4 linked regions of the Schizosaccharomyces pombe genome follow. The gene in region 1 interacts genetically with each later gene. Each region holds a gene or a part of one and is shown in the gene's direction. Other genes may lie near its edges. The genes, in order: aut12, rer1, ent3 and pep7.

Region 1 (6,003 bases):
TTATTTTAATAGTTTTTCCCTTTCCATGGCGCTACCGGTCTTCTCAACGTGGGTTGAGGAAAAGCATAATTCGCGTATTTTTGTTTTTTCAAGCAGATTTTCGTTCCCCTTATAAAGATTTCATTGTTTCTGAAATATTCACATCATATGCTAAAGCACTTGGTGATTTTTACATTTTTGGTTGTGTCTTACAGGGTCATATTAGTAAATTTACACTTAGACCTGATCTAAAATGCGATGGCACTTTTTTTGTTCCTCTAGCAATGGCCTATCCTTTCATTGTTGCAATACTTCAATGCTTACATTACGGGTTATCTCGTAGAAAACATACATTCAAAATTAACCTGCTAAGCGCTTTAAAACATGCAACAGCTCTTCCGGTAATATATCTTTCTGCTATCATTCATGCAAAGCAAACTAAATTTACGTTGACATCTGGACACGGTTATTTATTTTGGTTATGGATTCTTTCGGCTCTCCTGAGCTCTGCTTATACATTCTTATGGGACGTCTTCATTGACTGGAGAATCCGATTTCCTTTTCACAAAAGCATTAATCATAAAAGGTTCCCTATGTTTATTTACGCTATTGGGTGCTTTATTAATTTTATTTTACGAGTTACTTGGAGTATGAAACTTCATCCCCGGTTGCATCAATTCCATGAGTATGAAATGGGGATATTTTCTTTCGAAATGCTTGAGATCTTGCGAAGATTTCTTTGGCTATTTTTCCATTTAGATGCTATCTCCTCATAGTCACTACGAGGTAAACTTTTTCTTTTTAATCATTTATTACAAGTCAACTCAAGTTTGCAAGAAGGAACAAGCCAAATTTCTCGATACATTTACATTCCTTAATTAAATTTTGGTCACACTAACAATGTAATCGCCTCCTTTTATTTCTAATCTTTTTAAGTACTAGTAAGAATGTCCTTTTATTTGAAAAAAATAGTTGTTAACCACTATGCCCATTACATTCGTTCACGGGGTCTTGGTGCAGCCTTTAATATAGTATCAACGCGTAACAAAAGTTGAGCACCTTCAGATCCACTTGAAACTACAGCTTGTTTTAATTTCAATGCCTCGAGTATACCCTTGGCTCTCATATCAGCAATCTCTCCTTCATCCATATCAAGACCCATTGTATCGTTGCCATCATAATGAGCTGCCTTTAACTGAGCTACTAGCTCACTAGAGTCAAAGCCAGCATTATCAGCCAATATAGTTGGTAATTGTGATAATGCTTTTGCAAAAGCAGAAACAGCAACTGCCTTCTTACCAGGCTCATGGGTAGCAGCTTCTTCCACTGCCTTGGCCATTAGCATTTCAGCACAACCTCCTCCTAAAGTGACTCGAGATTCAGCGACTGTTTGGGAAAGAACAGCTAATGCATCATGAATGGCTCGTTCAGATTCATCCAGTAACTGATGAGTGGCACCACGTAAAACAATGGTGCAGGCTTCTCCGGCTTCAACGCCAGAAAACTTGATCATTTTATCTTCACCGATAATGATCTCCTCAATTTTCTTACAGTGACCTAATTTGACAAGTTCAGGATGGTCAAAAGTTGAAGCAATTTCACCACCAGTGACCAAAGACAGCCGCTCAATTCCATCGAAGTCTGCATGTTCAATGGACATAATACCAGCGTCAGCGAACAGCTGCTCTGGCCAATTGTAAATGAGTTGACGGTTAATGAAGCAATTAATATTATGACTTTTGATTTTTTCAACTTTAGCCTTCATTTTCTCGCGCTCAGCGCGTTCAAGTTCGGCAAGCTTGCCAGTTGTGTCTACACGAACCCTAGCACCAAAAACTTTCACTTTATCCGTATCCATAGCCGTATTAGCAATTAAAATGTTAGCATTTTCCATAACTTTGGGACAGTTAACACCAATAGTTTTATTGAGAATAAATCCCTCATCAAGGAAGGAGTCATCAAGTTTACCACCAAGGATCTTAATAATTTGAATGTTATCCAAGTTCGTGCTACCTTTCAAGCGAAGCACTGCATCAACAGCCAGCTGAGCAAAATGGTTTTTATTCTGAGATAAGATTTTGGAAGACAGAGTAGTTCTGGCAATATTCTCGAGGTCACTACGAAATTTAGCAGGATCACTAGAATTATCAATAGAGGAAGCACGAAGAGCATCGATAGCAGTTTTAGTAGCAATACGATAACCATCGATAATCACTTGAGGATGTATTTTTGCATTGACCATAATTTCTGCTTGACGAAGAAGTTCAGCAGCGAAGACACACACACTGGTAGTACCGTCGCCAACTTCATCATCTTGGACTTTTGAGATATTCACTAAAACTTTAGCAGCTGCATTATCCAAAGCTATAGACTTAAGAATGGTAGCACCGTCATTTGTCACAACAATATCACCCGAAGAGTTTGATTGTAAAATTTTGTCCTATAAATCGTTAATTAAAAATTTTTTCTATGTAGATTTGACCTTACCATTCCCTTAGGACCTAAAGTGCTTTTTACCAAATCGCCCACAGCAATTGCACCCACAAACGATGAAAGACGGGCATTTTCACCCCGCTCTTGGATGCCACTTTCGTTAAAAATCTGATGAGGATTTAAAGACTATATCGTTAGTACGGTTTTTACACATGATATTACCATTTCCAGATAGTGTACGATAAACCCAGAGTTGCGGTGGTTGAGTGGAAAGTAGCTTACAGCGAACAAGAAGCTCGTCGCAACAACGTAAGCCGTAGCTTACCAGGCATGTACCAGCGACTGTATATTTCTAGTTTTGGATCGTAAATAATATTATAATCAAATATTTTTATAATATATATATTTCATTCTCTTACGTTCATATTCATGCAAAAGAAAATAATGAGACAGCTTTTAAGCATTGCTATATAAAACACTATTCTATTACTCTCAAATATAAAATATCAAAAAATTAAAAGATTTCCTATATCTATTCAAGTCTCTATGAAGTTAATACCGACTACTGAGCATGTTCAACAAACTAGATGATGGTTGGCTTAATCGAGTGTTTTATTATTGCTCAAAATGAAATATGAAGCGTCGATTAAAGATTTCAACTGATTTTTTATTTTCGATTCCCTGTATGACTTGTGTTTTCTTACAAGTACTAGACTAATGTTTTTGTTTTGGAGCAATATAGATATTGAAAGAACCAATGCGCAAATCTCAATTCTATTCAATATTAGATGGAACCATCTCGAAAAGTTAGCCAACAAGTTTCTAGATCTTTAAATGTGAATACCATCCTTAGACCTTGAGAAGTCAAGGATAAGCAGCATTTTAGTTGAAACGATAGATCAGTGATCACTCCTAAATAACTCAATATAAACAGTTTGTAGTAATACATCTAGCGCTATATTCTAAGCGCTTTTTAACATTAATTTCTTAACCAAAGAGTATTCTTAGTTTAGAGCGCGTACATTTCATAGAACGTGTAATTATTAGTTTTATTTTAAATTCAGTACTGTTCTCTGTATACAATTGACTTCCATGTAAACGTATCTTGAATGCCATTTAGTTGTAATATGAAATTCTTTGCCGAAGACTCAGCCATTCCAATCTTCCCTTTTGAATTACCTATACAACTAGGTACGAAATCATCTTCGGCACAATATCTTTATGATTGCACCGCAAAGTTGAGTTTCAACATTTATTTAAAGAATCAATAATTATTTTTTATTCAATAAAAAGCAAAATATTTAAAACGCCTTCTTTTCCCTTAATTTTAACCGTAAATGAGTGAATGAAGCGAGGTTAGCATTATTACAACAGCTACAGTCCTCCTTATTCAATCCATCCCACTAATGAAAACAGCCAGTTGATGGAACCAACATCTGAGCATTCATCAATCAAGGAGGAAGTGGAAAATGATAACGTTCATAGATCTCATGAGTCGGAATGTGGATCACTGCTGTTAAACCCTGGTAATGTTCTAATGGCAGCGCCTTCGGTGTCAGAGGATGATCAAGAAGTAAGCAGGTCTACACCAGAATTGCGAAGCCACGTGGAAAACGTTGAACAATTACTTTCTGATATATTGCATGATAATTCCTCTCCGCTTAATGTAAGCACTTCAGTATCGAGCAGTAGTAACAATACGGCTGTTGATGAAATTATAAAACTACTTTCGTTGATATCTTTTGATTTGGCAAAACAAAAGCGCACATATTTGATATTCTCTTCATCAGGGAAGCCCGTGTTTAGTAACATTGTTGATGATTCAATTGAGCCATCAACCGTTGGCGCGTTACAAGCAATTATTAGCTCTTTCGAAGTGTCGAAAGAAGAGCTAACAAGCTTTTCTACCTTTTCCAATGTTATCGTTGTTCTCTCCAAAAATCCTCTTTATCTTGTTGGCGTATCGCCATCGACAACTTTAAGCGCAGCATATTTACTCAGTGAGTTAAACCTCTTATATTGCCAAATACTTACTGGGGTTACTGCGAAAGCTATGCAGCTGACCTTAAACTCCCGCCCAAATTTTGATTTGAGAAGACTTATTGGAAGCAACGAGCAGTTCCTAAAAGAACTATGTGATCAACTTAATGATTATGAATTAGTCCCCACATTGAATGCCATATCTCCTCTTCCTTTACGTTCCTCTTTTCGTGATCAGCTGTCGCAACTGCTGTTGAGAGAAACACCCAAATCTCTGCTGTTTACTTTTATAGCTATACGAGGTCGGCTTGTTTGTATGGTTAAGGCGAAGAAGCTTTTATTACATGCTAATGATCTCTATTTACTTTTCCTATCACTCTTCCGCACACAGTCTTTTAATGATTCAATGGAGCATTGGGTGCCTGTTTGTTTTCCTACTCTAAATCCAGATGCTTATATTTACATTTATAGCTATTTCCTATGTAAGGACACTGTCTTGATAATGGGGAGCAGCGAAAGTGGTGTCTTTTTTGAAATGCAATCAGTGAAATGCAAAGTTGCTCAGGAAATTCAGGATCATGGATGGTTGAAAAAGCTCATTTATTGTGAAGAAATGGATAGAACTACGCCAAGGAATCCCGGATCTCCTTGTATTTCACATTACTTGTTTTATTCAAAGAAATACTCACAGTTTTATACTCCTGGCTATTCATTTTCAACTCCCAATTTCAATACTAGGTACGTATACAATGATCTATTTTTCTTTACAATTTCAATACGATCGCTATCTTTGGGCTCATTTGCTTTGCTAACTATGTTTTTAGAACTCTTTATGCTATTTATGCTAGCTTACACGACCAGGCATTTCACAAAAAAAATTCTTTCTCAATTAATATGACTGTCCATGAATCTTTGCTTCTATTCACGTGGTCAACTGCATCGTTCGACTTTCATTGTATTGCTAACGCTACCACTAGCAGTCAACTGCTTATTGCAAATGTTAATAAGATTTTGAGATGGATACGAAGGGAGGAGAATCGATTATTTATACAAACAAACCTTTCGTTTTGATAATGAGCATGTAAAGTTTAATGAAATTCATTTCTTTTTATTTTTTATGATGTTTTGACAGTAAAATATTTAAAAGAGCGGTGATTGCTTCCAACAGCTTTATTAATTTTTCTTTTTCCTTTTTTTGTTTTAATTTATTAATATCAGCATCATTTTACTCACATAAATTTCCGACTGTATGAACTTAATATCATAGCGAGTCAACCGCGCCATTACCTAAATCACCACCAACCCTATTTAAGTACTAAACAATCGAAATGTTTGGTGGTTTAAAGAACTTTATTAAAGAAAAATCAGAAGCTTTAGCTGGTATTCATCGAGAATCAGATGAATCATGTGGTTTCAGAGTATTAAAGGTTGAAAACGATTCGAAAGCCTATAATGCCAGAATTGAGTCTTATTACGATTTTATAACGGCAGTGAATGGGATCTTACTGGTATGAACTGATTATAGTTTTATCATTACTAAAGTGTTTTTCACAGAATGGAGACCCTTCAATGTTTATGGCTTTGCTTCGTGATTCTTCCCCCGAAGTAACT
Region 2 (8,048 bases), 4.4 Mb from region 1:
TGAGCTTTTTTGACATTTATCTATCATTCATTTTTGAAAAAATAGCTGTGACAATCCTGTTGCATATAGTTTGTTTTTTTGACTAAGTATAGAGGATCTTATGAAGAACCTTTTTGAGTGACCTTAGTCCTGAATTCTTAGCTTAAGTTTGCTTTAACTTAATTGCATTTCTAGCAATTAACATTGCTAGATTTTTGCCTCATCGCTAGTCCATTTATAAGAATACGAAGTTGAACGAAGGAATATTGACCAAAAGAGCTTGGTGACTTCCAAAAAATGAAGAATCAAAAAGATCTGAAATGAGTATCCCTATCTTTCAGCTTTCCGCTTGTTTCGTGATCATTTCAGTTACTCACACATATACATTTATGAGTTGACCCAAAAAGAAAATCGGAAAGCGGGAGTTTAACAGATATATGAAAAATCAAGATAATAACAACAATTGATATTTTTAGTTTAACATTTCTTATTCATTACTGTGAAAATCCACGAGTCTGCACTCTAGACACATAGAATACTCTTTAAACAGCTTTCACATTATCAGGAAAGCTATTCCATTGATACTGTATTCTTTTCAGTAAATTAATTCTCATTTCATAGTTGTAACCATTCTCGAATTGGACTTCAGTCCGCATTCCAGTACTTGATCTGCTTTACCTGTTTCAACAATTTGAATCGTTTGATTATTTTCCCATTCAATCATGACATTGATTTAGACGTATTGCTGAATTAAGCCATTCCTGTTATTTGTCCCAACGTATAAAACTGGTTAAAATGTTTAAGTACTGTGAATCATGTCATTAAAAGTTTGGAAACGTGATTTTAAAGGAACAACTCATTATTTTGAACATAAATCATTACCATACAGATTTTTCTTCTTTTTCTTCTTTTATTATAAATAGGATACGATAAGTAGAGGAAACCGTAAATTTATGATGATTGACTCCATGATGCGGTAATTTCAATCCTTCCACTACACACTGCCTTTAATTCCAGGTCCATCTGGTTAATCATTTTTTAAAGAATCTAATTCATTCATATTTTTTTATTATAATTTACATTATATTTTCAATTTCTTTTTACTGTTTTCTCTCGTTTCTTGAGTCAACGGGCGAAGATTCGTGTTTCAAACGTAGTATTCTTTGGAATATCACAAATCTCATTTTAATTTTTAAAACGGCTTTCTAATTTTCTACCGAGAAAGAGTAGAAAGTTTCCCATTTCATTCATAATTTCTGATCCATTCTTGGTATCTTATTGTTTTGCTTTTATCCAATCTCAGTTTATATTTGTGAAACTTGAAAAAGAGTTTCTCTTGTCTCTAAAAGACTAAATTTTATTTTTTATTTTTTTATTAATTTGCATTTAACATCTGCTAATCTTTAAAATGGCAGTCCTACAGTGGAAGTTATCTCGTGTTATATTCGTGTTGTTAATCATTGGGATTAGCTCTTTTCTCATTTACTTCCAATTTGGAAACTCTTTTTCTGCTTCACCTGCTTTAGAACGTTTACAAGATGTATTTTCCAAACCAAGTGTACAAGAATACGACTACTTAGTACCTCTGGATGAAGATATGCAAGGCCTTAGCACGACGTATCATCAAGCGACAATTAACGAGGATGATCCTCAAGAGCCCAAATCCCATGAAATAGTAATCCTCTTAGCGAGTGATGGACGTTCAAGTGGCAATATGGCACCTGAAACATTTAATCAATGCATAGAAAACCGAATTAACTACGCAAAGCATCACAACTATGGCTTTGAATATGTTAATGTAAGCCAAATGAACATTCCTCCAGTGTGGGCCAAAATGCCCGCTATTATACAAACAATGAATAAGCATCCTCATGCGAAATGGATTTGGTGGTTGGACCAAGATGCGTTAATTTTGAACACAGAACTCTCTATTCAAGAACATATTTTGTCACCTGACGTTTTAGTGGAAAAGTTAATGAAGAATGAACCTATGATATCTCCATTTAGTGCTGATCTCGAACGTCTCACCCCAAGTTCCTATACTGTTGACAGTGCTCGTTCTTTAGGGCTATTGATTTCTCAAGATTTGAATGGCTTAAACGCGGGAAGTTTCTTTGTTAGAAGGTCGCCCATGATGGCTCTGTTTTTGGACTTATGGGGCGATAAATCCTTTAGAGAAAATAAGGTTGCGGATCATGAACAGGCCCTTTTGGGATATTTTGTTAGATATCACCCGGAAATTGCTGCTATAATAGGAATTTTACCTCAAACCCTTATTAATTCTTACCCTGTTGGCCAGCCGGAAATGGGCTGGAAAGAAGGTCATTTGGTTATACATTTTGCTGGGTGTTGGGTGGAGAACCGTTGTCAGGTTTTGTGGGATGAATATCGTGAGAGGGTTCATTGATGTGCATTAATAATAATAGTATTACCATTATTAATGCATTTGGTTATTTCCCCTCATCTTGTCTTTATTTTTATTATACACAAGCCACTGGATGCCACTCCTTTTACATAATTACCTATACAATTATGCTCTATGTATGTGTATATATTATCTAAGCATAGTCTGCCTCCTTAACCGTGCTAGTTACGGTTGTTTTCAATGGAAGAATGTGTTTATTTTATATGCGGTGTTCTGTTACAGAGGTGGTGGATAATCATCTAATTCCTTCTTTAATTTTTCTAATATACATTGCTATATAAACTAATTGTGACACTTATATTATAGGTGGTTTTGCAGGCCCCAGACAAATATTAATTGTGTTTAATTCATAAGCTTAAGGCTGAAACCACCAATCTTTTATTATATTTGTTTTATTGCACTTAATCTTTGGCTTTTTTTCAATTATTATTGAATCTATGCTACCTGTGTGAAACATAATCGATATTACTCCTAAAAAGCTGTGGATATTTGGGTAGGTAAAGTTATATCGCTTGATCCTAAGTTTGATATTTGTATTTTTTTTTGTTTAGGAAGTTGGCAATGCTTGCAATCTTGTCTTTTTCTATACATTTCTTCCTTGCCTTTGTCTTCAATCTAATCTGCGTATAAATGTCGATCTGGTTTACTTTTATAGACTGAATTCATTAATTTCTTTTTCCTTTTATTAAAGCTATTCAATGTAGATTTGTCACATTATTTTGCTGTGCAGGATTGTCATGAATTGAAAAAGCATACGTTATCTGACTTTATGAACCTCGAAATAAAATAAACAAGCATTATATTACATTTGTGTAAATTATAATGCTGTTAGGGTTGATGATAACTGCAAAATTCATGGCTGGTTTGAAAAGAGCTTTGCCGTTAATTTCAAATAGAAGTTGACATCGCTTTATTAGAGATGTCCAGCACCGGCTATACTCAATGATCATTAGTTGTTATTTCCGCTACATTTGCTTAATGAACCTTTTTATAAAAGCTTGCATCGAAAGAAGAAGTGTCATGTTGTAAATGTTAAAGAGTACCCAGACAAATTCTTCAGATTATTATCTTTACTCTTGACTTTTCCAACAAATTGACGACTCGTTTACTACTATGAATTCTTCATAAACACCCAAATCGACATGCCATTTTTCTGCAAAATTAATGAAGTCGAAGGTGAGCTGTATACAGTTTAACGTATTGGTAAGTATATGCATTAAATTTCTAATCGGTTAATGAGTTGATCATATTTAGGAACTTCAAATTGGTAAACGTAACCGTGGTGTAACTATACTAATCTATTCAAAAAAAAAGTAATTCTGACTGCCAAATTATCACTGAATCTTTTCTTTACACGCTTACCGCTCTCGAGTCCTGTAGAGACAAATTATTACTTTATCGTTATATTACTTTAAACTAATAATATCATTCACCGATAACACATTATAATGTATACTGTATTCTAGTGTAGGGGGTAAATGGAGTCTGGCAGTAGCGCGTATATGTCTGAATTGAATACATATTTCACTTCACTACCAACCACCATTTTATCGTCTGTTTGACAGTATTTAAGCATGGAATTCATTCAGCGTCATATAGAAAATGTTAAAGAGAAGAAAAACTTTGCAGTTCGAGTAAGAATAACTTGATTAGCTTGAGAAAAGAAGAAAATCTAACGTGTTTTTAGTTGTATCGACACTGGGTGGACCGAACCATACCTTATACAACGTATAGATGGCTGACTGTTAGTGGATTAATTGCATTATTTTTTATTAGGATTCTACTGGTTCGCGGTTGGTATATTGTTTGCTATACATTAGCCATTTACCTGCTCAATCTGTTCCTTGCGTTCTTGACTCCAAAATTCGATCCTAGTGTTGAGCAAGCAATGAAAGATGAAGAAATTGAAGAAGGAGTTCTTCCTACTTCCAAAGACGATGAATTTCGACCCTTTATTCGTAGATTGCCAGAATTCAAGTTTTGGTATTCAAGCATGCGTGCCACCTTGTTCGCCTTAGTCGCGTCCTTTTTCCGAATATTTGATGTACCTGTGTTTTGGCCTATTCTTGTTGTCTATTATCTTGTACTTTCTTTTTTCTGCTTTCGACGACAAATTCAGCACATGCTCAAGTATCGTTACGTTCCATTTGATATCGGTAAGAAAAAATTTGGCTCACACTAGGTAGTGTTTGAGCTGATGATGACCATGATCGCGAAATTGTTTTTTTCTTAGAAAGATATGATCACATTCAGTTGATTATATTAATCGGATACTCCTCAGTCGTTCTCTTACAAACATTTGTTTTTTATGTTTTTATATCGCCCACTCTTACTTTTAAACATGTAAGGAATAATTTTTCCAGCCCTATGTTCTTTTTACGCGATAAAACTACTTTTTTCTTTGAACCCAGTAACCTGCAATTTCATCGATAATGATGCTAATTTCGATGCTTTGTAATCCATCGGTTCTCTGGGTGTACAGCTATCTTTCATGCATATTCAAGATGTTAGATATCTGTATCAGGCTAAAAGAAATTGGCGATTATTTCTGTTAACATGTATGTGGATTGTCATGCGGTGATGATTAAAAAAAAATCTTTCTTATTGGAGTTGGGTCTTTGATGAAGTTGATTAACGAACAAGTTACAGAATACTCGGCTTATTCTTGTATCCAGAAGCGCTGGAAGTGGGCTAATTTGAAAGACATGTATCTCTTTCGAAAAGCTTACTCGCTTCTTCACGAACAGTTGTATATGGATAATAATTAGCATGCAGGTACAAAAATAAATTCATTGAAGCAACAAAATGACATGAAATTCTTTACAGCTAAGGAGTTTTAATAAACTGCAAACCAAAATTTAAAAGGTGTTTGTCAAATTTGACAGCATGGCTACTGTAGTAAACATTTACGTACATGATAAAGTTAGTAATTGTATGGTATCGTCTTAAGCACAGACAGTCGATTTTCCGTTAGAACAGCACGAGGGTTTTTCTGATGTGCAACAGCTTTTCTTTTCTTGAGAGCAGCAGGAGGTTTTTTCTGTTGAACAGCAACCTTTTTTTTCTTGAGAACAGCACGAAGGTTTTTTCGATGAACAACAGCTTTTCTTTTCTTGAGAGCAGCAAGAAGGTTTTTCTGATGGACTAGAATCCTTCTTGGAACAGCATGAAGAACCCTCGTTGACGGATTTCAACTCGGCATGCTCTGTCCATAAACTTTTGCCTGTACAAGCACAAATTTGCTTGGTATTTTGACCCAAACCAGCGCTACGGGAAATAATTCCCATAGTGGCGGAATCAGAATCGTCGACACATTTAAGAACGAAACAGTGACCAATCCAATTTGGTAAGGATCCAGAAACCTCTTTGTCGAGAACAATTTTTCCTTGCTCATTGGAGTTTGCATTAAAAAGGGTAACAAGGCTATCGCCAGCGGATTTGAGTCCACGGGAAATGTCTCCTGAGATAGTGACTAATCCTGTATACTCTCTATTTGGTAGGAGTTGAGTAGCAATCAAATCGAGGAAAATTTTCTCCTCGGTGGGAATAAAACGGCAAAGTCCGTAAACTTTGGGAATCTGGGTTATATCTTCATTGGCTTCATAAAGAATGGAAACGCCCGATTCTTTGTTACTAGCACCACGAATGAGAATGGGCTTCGAAGTGGCATTTTCCAAGCGCCGAAGGACTTTTGAAGGAGAGACTGAAAATCTACGTTAGCTAAGAGTAAAATGAGAAAAATAGGAAGTAAAAGAGGAAGTCAAACAATTTACTTTCAATTTTATGAACTAATGTAAAGCAGGATGAACTCACAAATCTCTCTTTTCTTCCTCATTTCTTATTGGTTTTATCACTTACCAGAACCCTTCACAATTAATTGACCAGTTGCAGCATCCCATTTCCAATCTTCAATGTTTAAATCTTGGAATTCCTGCTCGAGGGTATTCTTATTTACGTCGTCACAATCCTTAATGAGATATTCAACCTAAAAATTTTATTAGCACTCTTTGAACCAAATTTTCAAACAAATGCCATACTTCAAACATGTTGAAAACAAAAAGAAGCCGAAAGCAAAATAAGCCTTTAATATGATATTATTGATGTTGGCAAATGGCAACTTCTACGGAACTGCGTAAGGTGGTGAGATTTACTTTAGAATGGAAGGCAAACTCAGTATGAAGATTAGTCAGAAGGAAAGTTAATGGTATATTGAATTGAAAAATGCAAAATATGAACGTCAATTTTTAAAGAATATCATTGATTTTATTAGAAATGACAATGAATGTTGGATTTTTCTATTTATTATTATTTATTTTTTTAAATTTTTTTGGAAGATTTGTTTTTTATTCCAAGCGAGTTAAATGGCTTTTCTTTCTGTTGGTTTATAAATGAACATAGAGATTGTATTATTATTTATTTTTCATTAATTTTTTAAAGACCATTTAGCTGTAATTGTTAGTGTACAACTCCTTCGTTTGATTTAAAAAAATAAAATAAATGCTATGGGCGATAGAGAGATGTAGGAATATCTAAATTCTAAGTATTATTTTTCTTATATTATGGAGAATTTGAACGTTCTGTTTAGTGATTACAGTACTCTCACAATTTTAGTGATTCGTATATATACATGAATTGAGTATTCTCGATTTCTTTTCAAACAAAGAATCGAATTCTGTTGGCAATTTTTTTTTTCATTCATCTATTATTATTTTAGTATTAATTTTTTCACTTCAATCGAGATTATATATTTGCTCCGGTTTGATCTATTTGCCTTTCAAAGACTTAGTATATTACATTACTACCAGTACTGTGAAACATCTTATATAGAATCCATGCAATTGATATTCGTCCATACTAGAATAAAATTTATAGTTATTTAAAATGAATTAATTAAAGTAAACTGTTGCCGAAATTCTTCAACCAATCTTTTTTGTTTATACTCGAAAATCTGCCAACTAGCGAACGTTTCATGGCCATTAGAGAATATGGGGTTTTTAAACTATGGAACTGAATGAAAGGAAATGGGTTCATTCGGAGTCCCAACCGCTTTGTATATCGCCCGTTTTCCAGAATTATGCCTTTCCATGCCTATATATATGGAATCATACGTCAACCTATTACTTTCCAACTACCAAACACTTGTGAAGCGAGAAATTTCTTTGACAACGAGTTTTACTTGGTTTTGTACTAAATTTTTGAACCCTGCTAGTGTCTTAAAAAAATTTGAAAATGGTAAAGGTTTGCCTATTTGTTGCGGACGGCACTGATGAAATTGAGTTTTCGGCACCTTGGGGAATTTTTAAGAGAGCAGAAATTCCCATTGACAGCGTCTACGTTGGAGAGAATAAGGACCGACTTGTGAAGATGTCTCGTGACGTGGAAATGTATGCAAATCGTTCATACAAGGAAATCCCCAGTGCAGATGACTTTGCAAAGCAATACGATATTGCTATCATTCCTGGTGGTGGACTCGGGGCAAAAACACTTTCTACAACTCCTTTTGTTCAACAAGTGGTTAAAGAATTTTACAAGAAGCCTAATAAATGGATTGGAATGATTTGTGCCGGTACCCTTACAGCCAAGACATCAGGTCTTCCAAATAAACAGATTACTGGTCATCCTTCTGTTCGTGGTCAACTAGAGG
Region 3 (7,257 bases), on another chromosome or scaffold:
TTGGATTGTATATCTGTCTATCACAAATACTTTCAAGCTTCAACTAGATTGTTTGAAAGAACACTAATGTCGTTCAAGAGGTCGTTTAACGAAATTAAAAAGAAAAAAAATAAAGGCTCATTAAATTAAAAAAATTCGAGCGATAAAATAAAAAAAAACTAAAAATGCCGCCAACAATTCCTACAAACGTTTTTTGCAATCACCTTGAAAAAAATCTTCAAATCTCAGTTGTTCGTTTACGTTTTCGCTGTTCAGCTTCTGGTTTGATTTTTTTGGCGAATGAGAAAAGCCTAGGTTTTGAAGATATAACAATTGTTTCAGAAGGTTCGTGTCGAGGAAATGAAACAAAAGGTGGCTTTTTCGTTTTTTGCCAAACAACAGGTATTGGAGTATTCTGATTCTACCAAGGTATTAGCAAAGTACAAATGCAATGCCTAGCTTACCAAGTCCACTTCTTTTATCACTGGTGATGAGTTTTGCTGTTGGTTAGTTGTTGGTAACAGCAAACGCGATGTTGACATTGTAAGCCTCAATCTATGTGGCTGCTTTCAAGCGCGTCAAAGGTAGTTTTGAAGTTTCTCGTAAAGAAATGCAACGCATCGATAAGAGTGTCTGAGAACAGCATGTTCTACACTCGGTAAATTTCGATAACGATACGATAGAGTTGTGCTAAACCAAGTTAATGTGATGGAGAGCATATACGATAAGAAATGAGGTGGCAGGATACATAAATAATGTAAGAAAAGAAAGTCTGAAGCAATATACGGAAAAGAAATTCATCCATAGAATGTTCAGTAAAAACAAATAACATTTAAACTAATGTCTTCGTATCGTACCTTGATTTTTTAAATTCGGGATTAAACGATGGTCTATTGAAGAAGTCATCGCATTTTAAAGATCACGCAGCGTTATGTGGTTTTTTAATTCAGAGCCAAAAAAACAACAAAAAGAAGAAATACAGCGATTTCTTTTAAAACTCAATAAATCTGGTTCCTGATTATCATTAATGTTGATACTGATTTAATCCAGATGGGTAACTAAAGCAAAACCCTCGTTCATGTTAGTTGTCTTAAATAAAAAAAATAAAAATAAAATCCAACTTTATCTTAACTAGTCTTAGTTTCATTAGTATGAAGCCATTAAAACATTTTGAGACATTTTATTTACCCTGTCTATTTCACTAACTTATATGAAAGATTTGTTCCAAACTTCATCGAAAACACCACTAGAGTGTTTGCGCGTGTTTTCATTAACAGATGAGAATAGAAACAGTCGCAAACTAAATTTCGCGTAGTAAATTCCTCTTATTCAAAAAGCATCAACTTATTGTTTAGAACTGCATTAATAAACAATTATCCAAGTTAACACAAAGCTAAAGCTATATATTGTTCTATGAAGGTATTTATTTACTTGAACAAGCAACCCTCAATAAGCATTTTGCCCTAACCAAAAAAAAAATACACTAGCTCACCAGGAAAAGAGTGATTCTCAACTTGTTAGATTAGTAATTTAATCGCTAGCAAACAACTTATGTTTTCTATTTGGGTAAATGCATTTTACTAATCAAGTGCATTAACGAAAACCTGTTTTTCATAAACAAAATGACATAGTGCAGCTATTTCTTATTACTATATATATATCAACATCCTTAATCAACCTTCTTGAAGGGGGGACTATTAGACTTCTCATTTTACCAAGCCCAACAAAAGATGAAAGAATCGGCTGTTCATCCGAGTTAGCATGCAAGGTGTATTAGTATGTTAAATAAAATCCTCTTGTTAATGTGTAATCTCTTCGAAACTTGACAATCGATTTTGCATTGGCATTGTTGTAAAGATTGTTCTCGGCTGTCCATGTCCCCTGGCAACACCCGAAGTTATCTGTTTCAAAATGTAAGAAAATCCTTTTACGTTATTAGTTGATTGGACTCGAGTCCCTAATGTATAGGAAAATCGGTGGCGAGAAGGGGGATCATTCATTTAAAGTGACAACTACTGCTATAACCGAACGTAAAAATTGCGAGGTCGACTGGGCTAATCGTGACGTTTGGTGGTTGACACGCACAATTTATTGCACTATACTATCAGCACGTGGACCGTCTTACCGGAACAACTGACGAAAAAATAGTTATTTAAAAGTAGGGCTATACCCATTTGAAAAGGACAGTAATTCTGATATTTTGGATTTTTGATCTACACATACTTGAAGTTTGAAAATGCCTGCAGGAACCAAAGAACAAATCGAGTGTCCTTTAAAAGGAGTAACTTTGTTAAACTCTCCTCGCTACAATAAGGACACTGCTTTTACACCTGAGGAGCGTCAAAAATTTGAGATTTCATCACGTCTTCCCCCCATTGTTGAAACTTTGCAACAACAAGTGGATCGCTGTTATGACCAGTACAAAGCAATCGGTGATGAGCCCTTACAGAAGAATTTGTATCTTTCTCAATTAAGCGTCACCAACCAAACTCTGTTTTACGCACTCATCAGCCAACATTTGATCGAAATGATTCCTATCATCTATACACCTACCGAAGGCGATGCCATCAAGCAGTTTTCCGATATATATCGTTATCCTGAGGGTTGTTATTTGGATATTGATCATAACGATTTGTCTTATATCAAGCAACAGCTTTCCGAGTTTGGAAAATCCGATAGTGTCGAATACATTATCATTACCGATTCTGAAGGTATTTTGGGTATCGGCGATCAAGGTGTTGGTGGTGTCTTAATTTCAGTTGCCAAGGGACATTTAATGACTTTATGCGCGGGTTTAGACCCTAATCGATTCTTGCCCATTGTTCTCGATGTTGGCACCAACAATGAAACCCATCGTAAAAATCATCAATACATGGGTTTGAGAAAGGATCGTGTTCGTGGTGAACAGTATGACAGCTTTTTGGACAATGTTATAAAGGCCATTCGTGAAGTCTTTCCTGAGGCCTTTATTCATTTTGAGGATTTTGGTCTTGCCAACGCCAAGCGCATTTTAGACCACTATCGTCCTGACATTGCCTGCTTTAACGATGATATCCAGGGAACCGGTGCCGTAGCATTGGCCGCCATTATTGGCGCCCTTCACGTTACGAAATCTCCCTTAACCGAGCAGCGCATCATGATCTTTGGTGCAGGTACTGCTGGTGTTGGTATCGCCAACCAAATTGTTGCCGGTATGGTGACAGATGGCCTTTCATTAGATAAGGCTAGAGGTAATCTTTTCATGATTGATCGTTGCGGTTTGCTTTTGGAGAGACATGCTAAGATTGCTACTGATGGACAAAAGCCATTTTTGAAGAAGGACTCTGACTTTAAGGAAGTCCCTTCTGGAGACATTAATTTAGAGAGTGCTATTGCACTCGTCAAGCCCACCATTCTTTTGGGATGTTCCGGTCAACCGGGTAAATTTACAGAGAAAGCCATTCGTGAAATGAGCAAGCACGTCGAGCGCCCCATCATTTTCCCAATCTCTAATCCCACTACTCTTATGGAAGCGAAGCCCGATCAAATTGACAAATGGTCAGATGGAAAGGCTTTGATAGCCACTGGTTCCCCACTTCCTCCTCTCAATCGCAATGGTAAAAAATACGTGATTTCCCAATGCAACAATGCCCTCCTTTACCCTGCTCTTGGTGTTGCATGTGTGTTATCCCGTTGCAAGTTATTGAGTGATGGTATGCTGAAAGCAGCTTCCGATGCTTTGGCCACTGTTCCCAGATCTTTATTTGCTGCTGATGAAGCCCTCTTGCCAGATTTGAACAATGCTCGCGAAATTTCTCGTCACATTGTTTTTGCAGTCTTGAAGCAAGCTGTTTCTGAGGGAATGAGCACTGTGGATTTACCCAAAGATGATGCTAAATTGAAGGAATGGATTATTGAACGTGAATGGAATCCCGAATACAAGCCTTTTGTATAAAGCCTTTTATTTTATTTTTTTTTGAAACCTGCTTTTTGGTCTGCTTGTATTTAAAGATATTCATGTAAATAATTTTTTGAAAGATGAATTTACAATAAGTTGCTAAAAAGAAAATTCCCGTTTTATTCAAATGCTCATATTTGAATATTAGAAACATTATGTACATATTTAGGCATCTTCCATTAAGAATGATTAATGCGTAGAAAGATAATCAATTATTATTGCTTTTTTCTCCTATTGTTATTCATCAACTATATACATTAAAAAGATTGGAGTATAGCAGAGGTAGAATTTCTTTACTCTGAAAAGTAAATCGAAATAAATGGTATATGATTCAGTCTGAAATAAATTGAGCACGAGTATTCAAACCGTAAACCGTTATGTATTGAATGAACCATTTGATTTAATAAAGGTTATAATTTTACGAATTTATAATGGGTAGTTATATAGAAACACCAAGTTAACTTTATAATCAGATTAATCTGAATAATAAATTAAAAAGGGAAAGAGAAATCTGTATATGGATGAAACAAACAAATAGTAAATCGCATTTGACACCTACAAAATGTGTGTGAATATATACATACAAGGAGGGCCTGTAAATAGAACTTTGTATTCCCAAGGGATTTAGTGAACACCCTTAAAATCGTTATTACTAAATTTCGTAGATCAATAAAAAAAAATTCTCTCAGTAAAGCAGAATAAAGATATATGATGCAGTTTCTTGATAAAGTAAAAAGGAGCCGCGGCTAGACTGAGAAATCTGATTTCCCCATCCACCGACAACAATACTTCCATACTCGTTGCCTACGCGTTCTTTGAGAAGCGAAAACTTCTTTAAAAAAGTTTCATTTAAACAATTGGATATAAATTCCTTTAGGAACTAGAAATCCAAGAAAGTAAAACATTATCTAAGATGGAGTCCATTCAATCGACGATGAAGAACATCAACCTTTACGATATCAAGGCGGCGGTTCGTAAAGCACAAAATGTTGTAATGAATTATACATCTATGGAAGCCAGAGTTCGTGAAGCAACGAATAATGAACCCTGGGGCGCTAGTACTTCTTTGATGATGGAAATTGCCCAAGGAACTCACAACTACTCTCAGTTAAACGAAATTTTACCAATGATCTACCGTCGGTTTACCGAAAAAACTGCAGAAGAATGGCGTCAAATTTACAAAGCACTTCAGCTTCTGGAGTTTTTGGTCAAGAACGGGTCTGAAAGAGTGGTAGATGATGCTCGAGCACATCAAGCAACTATTAAAATGCTTCGTAATTTTCACTACATCGACCATCGTCAAAAGGACCAAGGGCTTAATGTTCGAACTCGAGCTAAAGAGCTGGTGGAATTACTAAACGATAGCGAACGTATCCGTAAGGAACGCAAGAGAGCGCGTCAAAATCGTGGTAAATTTATAGGTGTTGGTAGTGATGGAGATTCTAGGATTTCCACTAGCTCTAAATCTAGGTTTCCTAGCTTTGGCTCTTCCCGTGGTTCTTATAGAACTCGCGTTTACGGAGACGGTGGCGGCTTTACCGATTATGGTAATGGATACCATGATTCATCTTCTATGAGTGATTCCCGTGATGCATCCGATAACGATGTAGAGGAGTACAATGAAGATGGAGATGGTGGTTCCAGCGATGCTGCAACCGCAAACTCCACGCGTGGCTCACGTCGCACTACTACCAAACAATCTGACAAAGCTCCCGAGCAGCCAAAACAGGAATCTGCAATGATCGATTTATTGGGTCTTGACAATGAGCCTTCTCCTGCCCAACCACAAACAAATACTTCTGCTCCTTTGGCGTTCGAAGATGATGGCTTCGGTGACTTCCAAAGTTCTGCCGCTGCCCCAGCTTCTTCCACCTTAAACAATGCCTCTCTCTTTATGGGCTCTCAAACTGCTTCAACTGCTGCTAAAAATGACGATGATGCTTTTGATGATTTTCAAAGCGCTCCCTCCGCCAAACCCGCTTCAAATACTGCTGCCTTTTCGTCAATTTCGTTCGGTGGCTTTAATAGTTTAAATCAACTTCCCACATCATCCAGTGCCTTTACACCTCAACCTACTACCTTTAATACGGGTTATACATCTGCGTTTGGTATGTCATCCGGATTGTCTAATACCTCTTCACAAGCCGGTCTCGGATTAACCTCACAACAACCTACTGCTGCCAAATCTTCTGGATCTAATGGTGATGCTTTTGGTAGTCTGTGGTCCTCTGCCGTAAACAAAGTTCATCAAGAAAACTCAACTAGGGAAAGAGTTGTTTCGTCTTCTAGCGAACCGGTTTCTAAAACCCAAAACTTCCTAGACAACGACAATCTCCTATTGTAATAATTGTTTTTTATATTCCTAGTTTGTCTTTTTTAATACTTCCTATTAGCATGTGTTTGCTATGGAATTTAAGTAGTCGTTTCCTATCTCATTTAAACTATCTCCAGCCCTTGATCGTTAGCAACAAGGTCTTAATACCTTCTTTTGCTTCATTTTTTAATACCTTTGTTTATTGTCCTTATATTTCTCTATACATCGTCTGCTTTACGATTTTGTTTACAGTTGGTGAAGCTAGAATGAATTTTGGAAATGTTATTCACGTCGGTAGAATGACCTTCATTGCAATTTTGCATTTTCCTATAATGGGAATGCAATTGGTGGCCTTATAAGGATGGAGATTGATTAATTTATTTAGTTTGATATATTAGAGGTATTTCTTATCTAAACAGCGTCGAGCCTCGAGTCCTTTACTCATTCGCCTTAGTTCAGTAAAATAATCTTACAAATCCTTAACATGAGAAATAAAATTGAAACTATAATTGTTTATTAAAGAGAGTAAAGTAATTTCGAATCGCTAGATGTCCTCAGAAGAAAATGGTACTGAAAGAGTAGTGTAAGCGACGAGTTCGATTATGGTCATAAAGTTATGTCCCAAAATGGGTATGAGTTAAAATAAACATCGTGATGCGCATATGAAAATTCATTATGTAGAAATTATGAAGAAAAAAGAGAAAAGAAAGATTTCGGTTTTTTTGTGAAGCTCAACACTCCATTATTTTACAATTTCCTGTCACAACACAATTTTCTAAAACTGCATTGGAAGGGATGCAAAGGATGGTATTTTCCGAAGCAACAATCACGATGTTTCCTTTTAATATCACGTTTCTTCCGAAATATACATTTCCAGAAATGGATAGAGAAACTAGGTCTTTCATGCTAGGCATGTAAGGAATACGGCAAAAAAGTTCTGCGATATCTTTAAATTCATTAGACATGCGAACGACTGGAGGGGGAAAACCGAGCCTTGATTCTTCAATTTTTAAGGAACCATGATCAA
Region 4 (9,028 bases), 3.0 Mb from region 1:
AGGCTTATGAATAAAATCAGTACTCAACTTTATACCATTGAATAACTTTTGAGCAGACGAAAGAATTGACTTAGCTTGTTGTAAATATCCAATAGCAAGCCCTTGTTTCGATTTTTCCAACTGAGCGCGTGCCATAAAATAAGAGGAAAATCCCTCAAGGGCGGCCTTTTTGGCAGAAGCAAGCCGTATGAAATTGGGATTGCACGCCGGTTCCATAGATTCAAATGCGTGTACACAGCTATCATATAAAGTAGCTGCCGAACTAGCAATCTTTGCAGCCAACGAATAGTTCATGTTAGAGTCACTAGCTGAAAAAGACATATGTCCCAAGACACACTCCTGTGCTTGACCCAAGAAAAGATTGTAAATACCTAGTAAAAAATTGGAATCTAAATCTCTTCCAGGTGCATGAATGAAAGATTCGCGTAAGAGTTTGGCAATACCGCTAGCGCATTGTAAACAATTGGCGGCCGCCTTATAATCATCCACAGTGTAAGCAGATGCATGATTAGCAGCCATTCGGGAAAGCAATGAAACCAAATTGAATAAAACCGATGCTTTTTCAAAGGCAAGAGAAGATTGCTTGACGAAATCTGCATCGGGATCTAAGATATCGCTCCACTCAAAAGAAATGTTGATTCCATTACCACCAGTGGGAAATCGGAAAGACAAATAGTCAAGTTGTCCGTAATAAGAATACAAAATATCCTTACCAGCAACTGTGTCATCGACGTCTGCTGCGTTTTCTCTCAAAGTGTTGAACGCCTTAATTTGATCTTCGACATCAACACTATTTCCATATATTCGAGATACGAACGTAGTAAATGGCTCAACCCAATCTGAATGCTTTGTTTCCTTTTTATTTAAGTAAAAAAAAGGAGTAGCAAGTTTCTCCATCCTTTAAAATTCCTTATAAAAGAGCCAATGCCCCTATAGTTCTATGCACTCGACAAGCTGACTTAATTGACTAAATTCAGTCAAGCCAACGATGCACTAATCCTCGTTAAGACAAGTGAAGGAATACCTACATAATTTTCTATTATATTTACAAGTCCCTTTGATCTCCTTAAAGCAATATACCGTTGTTTGTGTAGTTACTCAAGTATTCACTATTCTTTCTTTGTACCACATCTTGTGACTGCCTTCTTTGGGGTAAAATTTTGGAATTCGTGGGCGCTAGATAGTTGTATTAAGACCAATATGAGTGAGGCGGTTACAATCAGAACTCGCAAGTTTATGACCAACCGCTTGCTTCAGAGGAAGCAAATGGTATGTATTTTTTTGCTTATAAGTTCTTTACGATCAGACGTGGCATATACTAACATGAGGGCGTTTTAGGTGGTCGACATTTTGCATCCTGGCAAGGCCAACATTTCCAAAAACGATCTTCGTGAAAAATTGGGTCAAATGTACAAGACTGATGCAAGTGCTGTCCAGGCATTTGGTCTTCGTACCCATTATGGTGGTGGAAGAACCACTGGTTTTGCATTGATTTACGACGACGTCGAGGCCATGAAGAAGTTTGAGCCCCATTATCGTCTTGTCCGTGTTGGACATGCCGAGCCTATCCAAAAGGTTGCTCGTCAACAACGCAAGCAACGTAAGAACAGAGGCAAGAAGGTCTTTGGTACTGGCAAGCGTCTTGCCAAGCGCAAGTCTAAGCAACAAGACTAGGCAATCTTATTTTTTCTTGGTTCAGAAAAATAATTTTCATAAAGTAATGAGATGTATTCACTTGATGGAAATGCATTGTTGTATTCGAACGGATTTAATTACGTGTTGCCTAAAATAATATTGTTCAGCTTTCGTGTGAACAGTAGTGAATGAAGTAAATAATCTTCAATAACTAGAGTTTGATCTCTAATATAATAATTTTTGAACATGCGGTATATGTTGTATTTTATGATAGTTTAATAGTTTTGTAATGTAATGATGTTGTTTCTTATTTACTAAAAACATAAGAGTTGAGGGCAGTGTCAATTGATAAAGGAATGGGCTAATATTGACTCAGCTGTTGGAAAAAGGTTAAATGAAATAAAACAATGGTAAATTGCGTATGCTTTGGTTATTCAATTTACTTATATCATCTACGCATTGATCTCAAATACAAAAAAAACATGAATACGTTCGAGTAAGAAAACAACTTGAAACAACAATAATGGTTGTGTATCAAAATGTATATTAAAAAGAAACGGGTGTACTGTTACCACTGCGATAACTTAAGGGGAAAAAAATTTATCAACAAAAGGAAGCAGTCCGAGAATTCTTTACGAAAATAAAATAATTAATTTTGATTTTTGGTAAACTGTAGGATAAAGATCATCACGATAAAAGAAACAACTACAGCAATGATCATTCCTAACTGTAGCCAAAAAGACAGCCTTTTTGACTTAGAGTAGCTTTGAACACCGTGGTTGGCATGTCTCAGACTGTGGGCATTCTTGTCGAGTAAGCTTCCTGTACGCTCTACCACTTGATTATCAGTTACTAGAGCATTTGTGAAAGATAAAGCGTTTTCTTTTAGAACAGATGCCAAATGCAAAAGTGACTCAGATATCTCAGTTTGCATTGAACGCTGGTTTGTGAGCAATTGGGCATTGGAAGCTTCGACATTCGACATCTGTTGTCGCTCTCTAAGCTCCCTTTCTTGAATACTCTGAAGAGCATGCGCGATCTCCTTCTCTTGTTTACTTTTTATCTTTTTCTCTTCAATTTTCAGCTTTTTTTCCATGGTAACATTTAAATCATAAATCCTACCCTGTAAATCCATGATTCTCTTCGAAAGCCCTTGAGGTTCAGCAACTTTGTCAAGTTGGCATTTTCCTTCTTCCCATAATAATTTCCTTGCATAATCAAGATTCTTTTCAAATTTTAAAAGTTCCAATGGGTCTTGAAACTCATCACGTTTCAACTTGAATTGTCGCTCCAACCTACTGATCAAATCTTTACTCATTTTAAAGCCTATGGAGTGAGCATTTCATAAGAATATCTCTCTCCTATAAAGAAAGTTATGTAAAGCGCTTTAAACTGGGGTTCCTGATATTTTATAAGTAGTTTGAGTTGAGTAGGTTATCAGGTGCATGTCATCTTATACACATACTAATTTTCACCTTGTATGAGTATTTTGGGTTTCAGAGTAGACGATTATAGTATTTTATATATTATTCATTTATAAGGATGTACTAACATTTAATTAAAACCGTATTTCTCTTTGAATACGTATTTTTGTACCAAGTGCCTTGACTATAAAATGCTATTTTAATCTCAATCTAATGAAGTATGAGAAGCTTAATAATCCTTATGTTAAAAGAATTGCATGAACCGTAATGCCTTAACTTAAAGGTGTCAATAAACATTAGCGTATTTACCTTACTATATATTTCAAGTCATGGAGGATATATGTTGTAAATAAACTTGACAGAATCTTTAAAAACGCAAGGATCTTGAGTTGCATTCCTTGCCATTGCATTGGCAAATTTTGAAATAACACTTATAGTACGCAAAGACGACCAGGCTGCCTTCGTGTTAGATTTTTGATAAAGCGATCTTTCTTCTTATTTAAATAAGCACTGCTAAAGACTACATACCTTGTAACTCCATTTGTCGTTATTTCAATTTATTCAGACCGGATGTTTTCCTGAATTGAAAATTAAACAAAATTGCAGTCTAACTCTTTAATTATTTGATCAGAGGATTTGTGATTTCTTTAGAATCTCTCATAATTTTATTTTAAACAACTTAATTTATTAAATTTCTAATGTTTGTTTATTCTGTGTTTAGCATTCCACCAGGTTAACCAGTTGTCTACTCTTCTAACAGTGATAATTCTTACCGTCAGGCGAATTCAGCACCTTTGCAAGAGCAAGCTCTGTGTAATAATAATTTATAAACTTTAGCTACTTTTAATTATATAGCCACTGAAAAGGCTTCAATTGCCTGAAATTCTCGTCTAAAAATCAAGTTCAGAGGGATTACTATGCAAAATGGTAAAAGACGTATTGGAGTCCGAATTTCTTCCAATTTGAGCAATCATTCCGGGACTAATCTTTCTACTAGTGCTCAAAGTGATTCTTCAAATATCGTTAAAGCCACTGAATGCCCAATTTGTGGGCTGGAATTACCAAATTTGTCAGCATTAAATGATCATCTCGATGTTACTCATTTCAATGATAATGAAAAAATCCACAAGCGACAAGATTCCATTAATTCATGGCTAACAAGGACTTTAAATGGTGCTTCAGCTCTGCAAATGAAAGCCGCTCAACGTCTTTGGAGAATGGAACCATATGAACAGAATGGGGATTCATCAGGTGCTGTCGGCCTTGAAGCAACTAAGCTCACAGATTCCTTGGTTGTCAAAAATCACTGGCAACCAGAGGTTCCTGACATGGTCTGCCATGACCCGATGTGTGATAAGCTTTTAAATTTCATCAATGGTCATATTCATTGTCGTAAATGCGGTTATATCTTCTGCAACTTTCACTCAATGTACCAGATCAAACTCAGTATTCATGCTACCTACGACTCTGAAAATGGATTTTGGTGTCGTGTTTGTCGAGAATGTTATGAAGGACGTCCTGGGTATAATGATTCAAATGGTTTAATTCGCTCACGTTTTCAAACATTCGAAACTTTTCGAAAACCTTTAGCTGATAAAAGAAGAATAGAGTTTTTAAGATTAAGCAAACGTATGAAAAAACTTGAAGAGCTATGGACATCGGAAAATGTCTCGATGCTTGATGCGCTTCTTTTGAACAAGGCTAAAAGGCTGGAGCAAAGCATCGTTCATTGGCAAGATGATTCCGTTGTACAAATTTGTCCTGAATGCAACAATTCTTTTACTCTAACTAGAAGACGCCGGCATTGTCGGCTTTGCGGACGCGTGATCTGCAGATTCTGTGTATTAGAGATTAGTCTTCCTCAACACCCGCAACCTCTCCTCATCTGTATGAGTTGCAATCAAAATTATTTCCGTAACGTTCTTTATCAAACGGAAAGATCGAAATCACTTGGCTACATCCGACATATTGAACACTTGCAAGTTTTTAGACAGGCTATGGTAAATTACTATCGACTTTACGAGGATTCTTTGTCTGAATTACTAAGTGGTGAAATAATCACTGAAGCGACCCTGAAAATAGTAAAAGATAGACGAAAAAAATTTCTTGAGCTATGTGTGAAATATGATGGAACTATGAAAAAAATCGCCAATCATCCCTCATCCAATGATGCTGAAGAACAATTTAAGCAGAATGTTGTTAATGAAGCAAAAAGATATTTACAAGAAACCATATTGCGTTTGCAGGCCATTCCTTACCATTTGCAGGTTGGCCAAGCTTGGACTTCTGAGTCTGAACGTGAGCTAGAAAAGAAGAAAGAGCAAGTTGAAAAGAAGCAAGAAGAGTTGATGCAAACAAGAATAGTTTTAGAGGAGCAAGTTTTCCTCGTTGAAAATATGATTGAAGATGCTAAAGCGAAACGAAAGTTTTCTGAGGTAGAGACTTTACTCTCCAGTCTTGCACCTTTGCATGAGGAAATTCATTCAATCACTGAAAAGATTCATGACTTGGATCTTTTTGATATTTGAGGATTTTTTCAATAAAGGAAATTTGACTTGTTTAATGATGCTGTTTCACTTTTATGTAATCAAAATTTCCTAGTTAATGTGTTGCGAAGGTTAGTCATATGATGGATGAGTGAATAATTGTATAGATAAATATTTATTGATGAAATGAATTTGAAGACTTTGCTTTCCTCGTCGAACAGCAATGAATGTTATCAATTAAGTTGAATAGGAAGAGCATCTTTTTTAGAGTTAACTTCTGAAGATTAGTATTCCTTAATCAGTGCTTTACTCTCCCTAATAATCAAATATTTTTTTCAAGTGTTATAGTATAATTAAGTTATGAATATGGGGCACAGGCACAAAAATTTAAGACTGAATTAACTTTTTGAACTATCCAACTTTACAAATTTACTTAAAGAATGAATCAATATTCGACAGCATGATAATAACAATGATTAAACTAAATGTAAAATTTATAATATAGATTTTCCCAAATCTATAATACTGAATTTTGATTTTGGCTTTACCTCGTGACCTAAATATCGTTACCTTAAAGACGTGTACAGACTTCATCTACTCCAGAACCACATTATTTTAGATTTTTCCAAACAAGGATTTTGCCTATGGATTCTTCTAATGTACCAGTTTTGAAGGATGAAGACAAGTGCAAGTTTTCGATGCGCTTTACAAACTTCCTCAAGTCTCGCCCTGAGCTGAAAACAAAGCCAGCGATCCTCAATGGAAAACGTGTATACTACTTTCGTGTGAAGCGTGTTCTTCGCTTTTTAACATCCGAAGCGTATACGCCTAAGAAATACAAAGGGTTTCCAGAAATTTCAAGCCGTGAGGAAGCAATCGAAGTTCTCAAATTGCTCATTATGAATTCGATGCTGGTTCGCGTTGATAAACTCCCCCCTAAACAAAGAAAGCAGAAGCTTGTAGAATTACAGATAAATCGTAATCAAGATTTTCAAGACGATATGCATTATGTTTGGCTCTACGAGCCTCTTCCAAAACGCGTTATGGCTTTGGCAGTACTGTTCGCTCTTGTCGTATTGGCACTCGTTTTGTTCCCCTTGTGGCCAATGTTTATGCGCAAGGGTGCTTGGTATTTAAGTATGGGAGGCCTTGGAGTAATCGGTCTATTCTTTGTTTTGGTTATTTTACGTTTTTTCTTATTTTGCATTACTGCTGTCATCGTGCGCCCTGGCATTTGGCTATTCCCCAATCTTCTTGCCGACGTTGGCTTCTGTGATAGCTTTAAACCTTTATGGAGTTGGCACAATTCCAAATCTGAGGTAAAGAAGACAAGGAAATCCAAGAAATTGTCAAAAAAAGCCACTTCACCAGCTGCTTCTGCAACTCCTGAAAAGTCTTCTACGTCCACCACTTCTTTAAAGAATTTAAGGCACAGAAATCCTACCGTCGAAGAAGTCTCTGAATAAAAATTAATTGTTGTACCGTTGATGAATCCAGTCACTCAGCCACTATTACTTACTTTAAAAAAAAATAGTGCATATCTTTACGTTATCAATTCTCCTTATACAATTTATTTCGTCTATGTTTTCGGAGAAAGGTTCTTTGAGATTCTAAATGTGTTTTCCAAGAAACCTTGGCGTTCTCATTTTATGCCCAAACGTATACATATATAATCAGTATATACTAAATGAGGACACTAAATTCTTTTGTGTTTCTTATTGTTACGCATTTTAATTACGGCAAGTTTGTCAGTCAATGAATATTTACTCTTATTGACACACAATTCTTGCTTAACCCATTTATATGAAGCGTTTTAATTTATGTACCACTCCTGGTAGGTGGTTTGATAATTCCCTTATTCTTTTAATCTCAATTTATAACACATTTGAGCGAAATTACTAGATTCTTAGCTTGCTTTTCTCCTTTTAAAGCTAGTATAGCATTTCCTCATGACACAAGGAGTGCATTCTTACTATAGTTGGCTGATCACATAGGAGTGATTATAATTACAAGTTCACTAATATTCATGGTATAAATTGTCATCATATCATATGATATTTAACTTCATATCAATAAATTTTACTTTCCATATTGAATATTTTCTCAATTCTTTAGTGTATAGTGCGTTTGCTGTATATTTCGTTAACCAGACATCGTCATTCTAAGTCAACTCCCACTACCTACTAATTGCAGGGCATTTTAAAAAAACTTGAATTTTCAAGGTATCCCTCAATCATATAGGGTAATACATATTATTTTTCGTTGATTAAGTGCATTTTATTGACGTGAAGCTTTTAAAGCCCTTGGCGTTGAGGATTTTGTAAATATTATACTAGACTCTAACACCACAATGTCCAACGTTACTGAAAATAAACATGACTTACACGAAAACGGGGTACCAGATTCTGCTCAGCCAATGGAATTGGATGTTTCTAAAAAGGAGGACACTGAACCAGAAGTCAGAGACGAGGCCAAAGAATTTTTGTTGAGCCAGTTACCACAAGTAGAAGTCCCTGAGTGGGCGCAATGGTTTGATTTCTCTAAAGTTCACGAAATTGAGAAAAAACAAAACCCTGAGTTCTTTGATGGAAAAAATACGTCGAAAACACCAGAGGTATATAAGGAATACCGAGATTTTATGATTAGTACTTTTCGATTGAACTCCAAAGTTTATTTGACTTTCACGGCTTGCCGAAGGAATTTGGCTGGTGATGTATGTGCTGTCTTGCGTGTCCATAGATTTCTAGAGCAATGGGGATTAATCAACTATAACGTTAACCCCGATACTCGGCCTTCGAAAATAGGTCCCCCTTCCACAAGTCATTTCCAAATCCTTGCTGATACTCCTCGTGGATTGGTACCACTTCTTCCACCTCCCTCTTCTTCAATTCCTCGTTCCAAAGCTGTTACCATTGAAGATCCTTCGATTGTCCGAACAAATATTTATGATCCCTCTCTCGACGATGTCTTAAAAGGTAAGGGTTCAACTCCGAATCAAAAACCAAGCCTTTCGAACCTTCATGAAAACAACATTGATCAGTCAGATTCTCCACAGCATTGTTACTGTTGCGGTAATAAATTTAATGAAAGTTACTACCAATCTCAAACGGCCCAAAAATATAACGTTTGTATAAGTTGCTACCAACAAAATCGGTTTCCTTCACCGACCACAATTGCTGATTATAAGGAGGTCGCAATACAAAATAAAATTGAAGATGATGATACATGGACTGCACAAGAACTTGTTCTTTTGTCAGAGGGAGTGGAAATGTATAGTGACGACTGGGCAAAGGTTGCTTCTCATGTGAACACAAAAAGTGTTGAAGAGTGTATTTTGAAATTCCTTAATCTTCCTTCTTCCGACAAAGCTTTATTTAAAATGGACAAAGTGCATACCAATCCTGTGGTTGATTCTTTGCAGGGGAAGAACCCTATTTTATCCGTAGTCTCTTTCTTAGCCAAAATGGTACCACCTTCTTCTTT

What was found.
Region 2: mutations in aut12 (region 1) and rer1 together harm fitness more than expected from each alone (negative genetic interaction), as found in Schizosaccharomyces pombe (one large-scale study listed by BioGRID).
Region 3: mutations in aut12 (region 1) and ent3 together harm fitness more than expected from each alone (negative genetic interaction), as found in Schizosaccharomyces pombe (one large-scale study listed by BioGRID).
Region 4: mutations in aut12 (region 1) and pep7 together harm fitness more than expected from each alone (negative genetic interaction), as found in Schizosaccharomyces pombe (one large-scale study listed by BioGRID).

Annotation. Positions count from the first base shown.
Region 1 is NC_003424.3:641,345-647,347, reverse strand, and holds aut12 (autophagy associated protein Aut12), read left to right. Parts: upstream 1-3,809; 5' UTR 3,810-3,835; coding exon 3,836-5,130; intron 5,131-5,216; coding exon 5,217-5,463; 3' UTR 5,464-5,503; downstream 5,504-6,003. Other genes in the region: erd101 (EXS domain-containing protein), read left to right, coding at 1-755; chaperonin-containing T-complex beta subunit Cct2, read right to left, coding at 971-2,419, 2,467-2,598, 2,635-2,637; grh1 (GRASP family protein), read left to right, coding at 5,721-5,900, 5,947-6,003.
Region 2 is NC_003424.3:5,023,338-5,031,385, reverse strand, and holds rer1 (Rer1 family protein), read left to right. Parts: upstream 1-3,935; 5' UTR 3,936-3,978; coding exon 3,979-4,038; intron 4,039-4,091; coding exon 4,092-4,586; 3' UTR 4,587-5,243; downstream 5,244-8,048. Other genes in the region: alpha-1,2-galactosyltransferase Gmh3, read left to right, coding at 1,388-2,386; superoxide dismutase Cu chaperone Ccs1, read right to left, coding at 5,350-6,107, 6,263-6,389, 6,442-6,450; glyoxylase III Sdj1, read left to right, coding at 7,634-8,048.
Region 3 is NC_003421.2:272,170-279,426, reverse strand, and holds ent3 (ENTH/VHS domain-containing protein Ent3), read left to right. Parts: upstream 1-4,678; 5' UTR 4,679-4,829; coding exon 4,830-6,260; 3' UTR 6,261-6,757; downstream 6,758-7,257. Other genes in the region: SPOM_SPCC794.15 (uncharacterized protein), read right to left, coding at 218-400, 444-521; malate dehydrogenase Mae2, read left to right, coding at 2,216-3,913; ugp1 (UTP-glucose-1-phosphate uridylyltransferase), read right to left, coding at 6,962-7,257.
Region 4 is NC_003424.3:3,597,903-3,606,930, forward strand, and holds pep7 (FYVE tethering component Pep7), read left to right. Parts: upstream 1-3,814; 5' UTR 3,815-3,976; coding exon 3,977-5,587; 3' UTR 5,588-6,002; downstream 6,003-9,028. Other genes in the region: bro1 (vacuolar protein-sorting protein), read right to left, coding at 1-897; rps2401 (40S ribosomal protein eS24), read left to right, coding at 1,201-1,269, 1,339-1,674; SNARE protein Use1, read right to left, coding at 2,285-2,953; translocation subcomplex subunit Sec62, read left to right, coding at 6,190-7,011; SWI/SNF and RSC complex subunit Ssr1, read left to right, coding at 7,896-9,028. UniProt on the Schizosaccharomyces pombe protein: Required for vacuole segregation and vacuole protein sorting. Possibly part of a complex which tethers the vacuole membrane to microtubules, either directly or via kinesin or dynein-like motor proteins.